2 linked regions of the Nothobranchius furzeri genome follow. The protein of the gene in region 2 interacts with the protein of the main gene of each other region in a pairwise test. Links are inferred from orthologs where the notes say so. Each region holds a gene or a part of one and is shown on either strand. Other genes may lie near its edges.

Region 1 (4,278 bases), on a different chromosome or scaffold from region 2:
GGTGCAAGAACTGTGGTGGACGCACACCATTTGCGTGCGAAAAATGTGATGTGCCACTACATGTGGAGTGCTTCAAAAAGCACCACACTGAGTAGTACATCCATACCAAATGATGGATTGTGTGGGAACTATGTCATATACATAAATATGTGTTAAATGTTCTAAAAAACATGTTTGTTGTGATTTTGAGTTTTAAAAATGTGAATAAAGGAAACAGTTGTGTCTTGTTTTGAATTTCATACAGGGGAACCTGAGTCCTTTCTTATTTCTATGACAATACTATTAGGCTATTACCTTGTTATGACCAGGGCTGGGCCTTGAACAGCCATTGGGGGAGGTATTGCTGCAGTGAGGTGCGCCAAAATAACAGAGCAGTGTCCTGTTTGTGGGATGCATGGGTGAGGTTACAGGTGTGTATGTGTGTGTGTGTGTGGGGGGGGGGGGGTTTGCATTGGTGCGAGGAAAAACTAACCCTAACGACACTATTATTACTTCTCTATTCCTATTATTAGGTGACATTTCACCTACTGACAAGCTGTGTGACCACTGGCAACAATAGTTGCCAGTCATAAATATGCCATTCTCTTCCCAAAAACAGTATATAATTGAAAAAAATATTATATAACATGATTCAGAGGGACTTAACTGATAAAATGATATGCATTAAGACTGAAAAAAATGTGGGCACAAATGGGTTAAATTCTAAATGTGGTTTTCAAACCAAAGTGGCACATTGTGAAAAGGTGACCGACCCCTTAACCTAAAGCAGCCACCTGGAGTTTCACCCAGAATGACCTAGAAATCCGTAAAAGTGACCGTTTTACCCTAAACCTCAAAGCTCACCTCTCCCTCTTTGATGTGCACATCCTTGTGTTCACCATTTTCTACCACCTTCAGGCACATGTCCCCCTTCAGCTGGAAGAACAACTACTTAAAGAGAAGAGCAGATGGAGACATGGGGTTAGATGCTACTCCTAGATGTTTACTAGAGGAAACTGTGTTTGGTTTATTTCCATAGTCAATATAAAAGTTCTCTTTCTAAAAACTACAAAAAATAATTCGTACAACCCCTAAAAGGCCTGTTTCACGTGGATTTCAGCTGGTTCTGTATTTTTGTACTAAGAACATCAAGTGTTCCACACACTGGGCCTAAACCAGTTTGGTGGAGTTTGACCTGATAATGCAGAAAAGATAATAAATAATCCACTGAAGTGGGAATAAAAGGTCAACAGAAGTTAAAGGTTGAATATGGAACACGGAAACTCTGGCGACATCTAGTGTCTAGAGGTGGCAGTGCAACAATAGAAAACATTTTCCAGCCGTGGGGGGTGTTGGTTCGCTGCTGACACATTAAAGTGAGGGTCAAGGCCTGGGTGGAGACGTATTTCCTCCACACTTCCCGTTAGAAAATCGCTTCTGAAAAAGGCGTCGCCGTGGGCGGATCGAGAGAGCGGCACTGAGACAATGGTAGACCCCCACACCCACACCCCCGCGCGCACATGCTGTCAGAGTTTTTCAATCTAAAAACGAGTTGTTAACCAGCGCATGCACCCTCGAGCGTGCACGCAAGCACACTCACATAAGACTTACCGCTCAGGAAAAAAGCAGACACAGATTCTGCAGCATTCTGGAGGATTTCTTGTTAACCAGGATCAATAGATGAAAAGGGGAGGAGGGCTTTTTTTTTTCAAGGTGGCGAGCGGCTCAGAGCGCTAACGTGTCACATCGGCAGGTGAGTGGCTGAGCCAGGTGGAGGTGCAGCTGCCTCACCTGGAGACCAGTGCGGTGCAGCCGCGTAGTTTTTTGCTGACGTCACGTTTTTCTGCTTAGCCATCAGCTACAGCTGGTTCTACATAAATGTGGAGCAGAGTTTTAACCTGAAGATAGTTATAAATGAGATTTTGGGCTGAAATATTACATTTAAAGTAAGTTGCACTAAAGTGTCACACTAATGATTACACATGTGTGCAGCACCATCATCTATACAGGTTAGCTGCAAAAAAAAAGTTAATTTAGGCATTACTCGCTCTTTAAGTGACCAGCCAGCACCGTGTTCAGTGACAAATCGTACAGGGTAAGGACTAATTTCTACTAATACATTTACTTTACGACAATATTTACCGTTAGAACATCTTTTGGGCTCAGAACCAGCCGCTTGGGTAGTCAAGTCCCTTTTACGCAGCCCCAGCCTCGCCTTGCCGAGCGGACTTTTTAGCACTATGATGCCCTCTAGTGGCTGCTAGATGTAAACATGAACCCAGTGTCGTGCAGACAAAATTAAAAATTGATTTTTTTAATTTAGCTTTTAAAGGAAAAACTGAACATTCACTCTGCACGCCTCTAAGCACCCGTGGAGCTTTTTTAATAATATAGCTTTTTATTAATATGTTCCATATTTCACCTTTAAATCAACATGATTGAAGCAGTTCAGTAGATATTTGTCTCTTACCTCTTCCCCTTCTTCTATGTGATAGTCCTTCCTGGTGTTAGGACCTCCAACAAACATGATGAGCAACTGGGAAAAGTGCCTGAGAAAAAGAGGAAATAAAATCAGCCATGTTGCCTCGGCATGACCAAGGCTGTTCATGTGAAATTTGTGCAAAAGCTACGAAACTATTACAAATATTTCAAACTGCACAACAGATGAAAGATCCCCGTTAGTAGAAAGAAATCCACGTTAATCTCAGCTAATAAAAGAATCAAGTCACTCACATGAGTTTGTTGCAAACTGGTGGCAGAAAATCATCCTGATTCTCTGTAATCCAGTTTTTCACGCTGACCTGGAGAGGTGATACGTTCATGTTTTAAATATTTAATTTGGAATGATCAAACCCTGGAAGCTGATGTTAAAGTGTGAATGCACTCAAAGTCCAAAATGCAGAAGCTGCTGAAAGCTCAGGAGGGAGGAGCTGTTTTTGTTTGCAGAGGTGAAAGGTCACCTTCACTTTCATAATAAGTAACAAAGGTGCCCTGTGGGACTCTAGACAAGAGTCCTTTTCAACAACTACATATGCAGCCAAAAGCAGAAGAAAGTTTCTGGGTGAAATATTCCCTGAATTCAAACTGTATTTATCTCAATAAATGATTAAAATACTACTCCTTTTATGATTCATCACAAACAAGCCTAAAACATGTAAACTATGAGTTGATATGTTTTACTTGGAGGTAAAGGCTAATGCGAATCACAAGAAAAGAGAATATGAGCTAACGTGCACCTTGGAATTGCATGGAAGACTGTAATAACCAGCTCCCCTGTTACCAAACAGGACGTGTTTAAAACTGCTATTTTCTTGGTATATAATTGATTACTAATTGTGGTAATAACTGAACATATTATATATAGAAAGACAATTTTCCTGTAATACTTTATAAACAATGAGTTTTACCTTACGTGTGTTTTAATGTTTCACTTGAAATGAAACATGAAAAAGATGCACTCTGTCAATGTCTGTTTTGTTTTTCTGTTTAAATTCTTATCCTTTTATATCAAAAAGTACTTGATGCCATGGCCAAACCATTATGTAGTAAATGGAAGTTTTTTTTATCTTTAAATCTTTTTTTTATTCTGTTATGTGGGAATGTTTTATGTTGCTCAAGGCAAAGGTGTTTATGTGTTTTGTGGTGATGCCCTCTTGTGGTACAGCTGTGGAATTGCATCTTTTTTGGGTCCGGTTGTGTAACAGCCAGCAGGCCGCTGTGGTCACGTGATATGCGGCCTCGGCGAGGCGGTGCGTCTTGACGGCGGTGCTTCAGCGTGGTGCGCGCAGACGTTCAACAAAACACCGTTACATTTGTAGTTTGGGATCTAAAAATAACTCGTAACAGCTAATAAACTTGAGCTTTCCGCTACTAACAAAAATTCCCGGTGGTTTTGGTGATGGTTTGGATATGAATTTTCTCCTGGGATTTCGGTCGGATTCGTTGTCTTATAAGTAGTGATTCCGGTTCAGTGGGAAGGTTTGAACTGTTCTCCCTGGAAAGTGACCATTGTTGAAATCAGGTCAAGGCTGCTATCATTCCTACTTGCTGACTTTCTTACTTTTTTACGGATTTACAGCAAAAGGTGCAAGCTTTTTAGAGTGTCATGAAAGAAATGTCAAGGTAAGTCAGGCATGTGGTTCGTTTTGGACTTAAAAGCTTTTCTTGTTCGCGGTAGAGATGGACCTGAAGAATAGGCTAAAAGCTAATGTTAGCCAACTGTCACAACATGGCCTGCAGCCACCGTATGCTACTTATCTTGTTTGGCTCGGGTAAAACTCGACTTAAATCGTTTTTAAT
Region 2 (3,654 bases):
ATTTACCTGGAGAGAATATTCCATCGCCTTCTCCGTTTGGCCAGCCAACGATCTCCCTCATCTTTTTGAGCGTCAGCTGCTCCATCAGCACAAAAACTGGGGCAATCTCATATGTAAACCTAAAACAGACAAAATAACCAAACTGTGAAATGTAAATCTCAACTTTCTGTGCTTATTTTGTTGAATCCTGCTTATTGTCTTGATGCACACTTAACTCACTGAAAGTTACATAATTATTCAACAAAGTATATTTCTTTACTCTCTGAGACCCAATAAATACCAACAATATGCACACTTTAAAATAATTCCCTTCATAAAAGTTGTTCTAGAATAATGGCCTGCTGCTGGGCTCACAAAACCATGTGCCGTAATTTATTTTTTATCTTCATAAAGCAGAAACTGCATGAGCATCACCTCTACATAAACATTCTTTTTATTTTCTGGTTTATTTATGCAAAGGGAGCAAAAGAACAAGATGATCCCAGCGTGCTGCATTGTGCATCACATGCAGGACCAAAGTAAACAAGTCAGAATTCACCCCACAGATGTCAAATGTTACTTCAGTGCTCTCATTCAGATAAGTCTGATCATGTAAAGCGTGGATGTGACTGAGGGCCTATCAGTGTCAGTCAATATCAGCTGAGATAATTAGGGCTGATGCACTAATTAATAAAGATTAATTAGTGGAAAAAACCTCCCACGTGTTCAAGTCATCCACTGTGATGCTCATAAAAGGTAACAGTTTTGTTGGTCCCAAAATCTGTGTTCCTCAATGTCCACTGTCCTGCATGTCCAGAACACCTGATTTAAATGGATGCCTCATTAAATTCTATAGAACTGGCTGATAAGACGATTTAATCATTTGGCTCAGGTGGGTTGGAGGAAGGGAACAATTAAAACTTGCAGGAGAAAAAATCTTGATGACCAACCAATCTGTTTCAGGTCACTTCTGCGAAGACCAATCAGACTCTTGAACCTCTCACCTGAAATGCCCCTCTAGATGTGATCATGAGTCCAGAGTTTCAGGGGTTACAAGTCTTTTTTGGGAAAAATCACAATACTCCACAATTCTACGATTTTTCCTGAGAGTTGGGTTGCGCATGAGGTCGAGCAAGGGCGTAATTTTTTTTTTGGGGGGGGGGGGGGGGGGGGGCAGGTTGTACAAGCAGGGGAACTTCTGTTAGTGGGCCATTCCCATCTTGTACCTGGTCAGCCCGGCCCGGATAGCATAGGTTGCTTACATATCTTGGTGGCCTGCCTTTTTTCAGGGTGCAACGAGACTGTTTTTCAGCCCTCTTTCTGAGGTGGTCTGCTTCAGGCTGACCAGGGTCAACACCCCCCACTGCTGACTGATAAGCCAGCTAATCAGTCAGCAAATTCAAACCTTTCAGTAGAGCAAGCCTCTGATTGGTGGGTAGAATCAGCCCACATGTGCTTAAGGCATGCTCAATTCATTATCATGCTGATTACCTAGAAGCTGAAATGACTACATTCCTTGCATACCTAAGCAAGGATGTGTGGAATCAGCCAGGCCAGGCTGGGGCCGACTGGAGCTATCCAGGCAGGGCCGACCAGGCACAGATGGGAATGGCCCGTTGGAAGAGTGGGTTGGACTGTGGACAGTTGTTGTTTACCTGGAGACGGACATTTTATAATAATTTTAAAGATTTTGACAGATATGTGGTTGTAAAAGCAACACAAAAAAGTCCCGGTACGCAATGCCAGCCCAGTTGAAGCACAGAATAAGGTCTATGCACCAAAGATTCCAAAAATAATGGTATCCATCTCAGAGATAAGCCAAGCTCCTTTCGAGGAAAGTAAGTTCACATGTTGTGCAGAGAAGACAAATGGAAAAACACTGAGAAGGTGAGGTGGCTGGGTTGCACCCATCCCAAAAAGCATTCATGTGATGCAATACCTCATTTACACAACAACCCAAATGACTCACAGGATGGACGAGGCGTTTACATCCTAAAACCTGTCCAGCAGCCATGCAAACTCCATGACCCATGATTAGATCACGTGAGTTTCCACTGCCTTCGATTAAAACAGAAAATCCAGGATTTCTCATGGAAGTTTACAACCTGTAAATAACTAGTAAATCACTGATTACATATCAATGAACGCATTAGTGGTGACAAACAGCCTTTTAAAGAGGCTCAATGAGAAAACCCTTCATCAACTTTCAGCCACGATAAAAAAAATGTTGCAAATAAATTTAGTTTATGGTGAAGTATCTGCTCCTTTCCAACGAGCCCTTAATAGATTATTGACTAATGAACTGATGGGTGTTTTATTTAATGAGCAACAACAAAATATTACAATGCTTTGATTCTCTGCATGTTATCCAAATTAAATGATTTTTAGTGTCTGCAAACATTCATAGGTTGATTGATCTTTATGGAATTTATTTGTGATATCTCTCATTTCCCAAATTTGGGAGCTCCAGATTCCCAAAATGAGATGCCTATCCTGCAGAATGAGACAAAATAAGGCAATAAACAGATTTTACATCCTATTAATAAATTCTGCTCCTATCTTCCAAATATGGAAGCTCCTTCCTGTCTGTGTTATATCACAGGAGCTCTCATAACACGAAACAAAGACACCGTGTAAACTCTGAATGCTAATCAATATGCAATTTAGTTTCCCTGCAGGGCTGAGTTATGCACCCACCTCCCAACAGTCGTGTATATCGACAACACTGAACCGGGGTGTGTCTGCCCCGATGTCCTGCTTTGTGTTCTTTATTTCCTTGTTTGACTGACAGCCTTTTAGAGCGTTTTTCTTTTCCAACCGAGGACAGTAATTACTACATGACACTGTAAGTGTTCCTCCGAGCTGAAAAACAAATAAGAGCTGATCGGCTGTGATTTCTACTCACATGTTTGTGTTGGCTGTGGAAGTGAGCCACTCTCCCGCCAATCCCACGATGTCTATTCCAGTAGACAGCTGGTTAAAGAACCTGGGGTGGCCTGGGATTGATACAGAGTCAAACCCTCAGAAAAAACACAGCTGTGAGATAACCAGGAGTTAGTTATTCATCAGTAGGTATACCCTACCTGTTCTCACGCCATATTTCAGGGTGTCCCTGCAGTCCACCAGGATCTGCTCCAGAGACTCGGGCTGGTCGGGCAGCTCCAGACTGAAGCCCTCTATGCCCTCCAGCAGCTGGTGAGGATAGTGGAAGTCAAGGACCTTGGTGGATTTGTCAAAAGTCTTCTTGATGTAGCTGGTGAGGATTTCCACCACCTCCAGCAGGAACTGCATGGTGGGCTCTTCTCCATTTTTGGCAGGCAAAAGCTCTATAAAAGAATCAAATATTCTAATAATTTGTCTCCTGTAGTTATTTTTTTTATTATTTTTGCTTGCTTTTTTATTTCTTTCATTTATTTCATAAATAATTCCCATTTATCTTATTTTTTATTTATGTGGGGCCTTTTCTTTAAACTCAGACTGTAATTTTCACACATTTGGAGGCATTTATCTAAAAAAAATCAAATGAAAGGCAACAAGTTAGCATTTCTCTGGCCCTACCTCTGGCATACAAATTGGAGAAGTCGGTCTCTATGCGCTTAAACCGCGCGTCCCCTCCGGTGTTATCGCAGGACAGCAGATCTTTGGTCGCGCGCTCCTTGATGGAGCTCACGATCC

What was found. The genes of interacting proteins can lie anywhere in the genome.
Region 1: the proteins of glutamate decarboxylase 1 (region 2) and haao interact in a two-hybrid assay, tested with the Homo sapiens proteins (4 studies listed by BioGRID and IntAct). The two-hybrid records come from large-scale screens. The link is inferred for Nothobranchius furzeri from reciprocal best matches to the Homo sapiens genes GAD1 and HAAO.

What each region holds. Positions count from the first base shown.
Region 1 is NC_091752.1:7,587,248-7,591,525, forward strand, and holds the start of haao (3-hydroxyanthranilate 3,4-dioxygenase), read right to left. Parts: upstream 2,891-4,278; 5' UTR 2,802-2,890; coding exon 2,713-2,801; intron 2,529-2,712; coding exon 2,450-2,528; intron 928-2,449; coding exon 844-927; intron 1-843. Other genes in the region: papolg (poly(A) polymerase gamma), read left to right, coding at 4,085-4,101. UniProt on the Homo sapiens protein: Catalyzes the oxidative ring opening of 3-hydroxyanthranilate to 2-amino-3-carboxymuconate semialdehyde, which spontaneously cyclizes to quinolinate.
Region 2 is NC_091754.1:20,477,877-20,481,530, reverse strand, and holds part of glutamate decarboxylase 1, read right to left. Parts: coding exon 3,538-3,654; intron 3,306-3,537; coding exon 3,063-3,305; intron 2,976-3,062; coding exon 2,885-2,975; intron 120-2,884; coding exon 7-119; intron 1-6.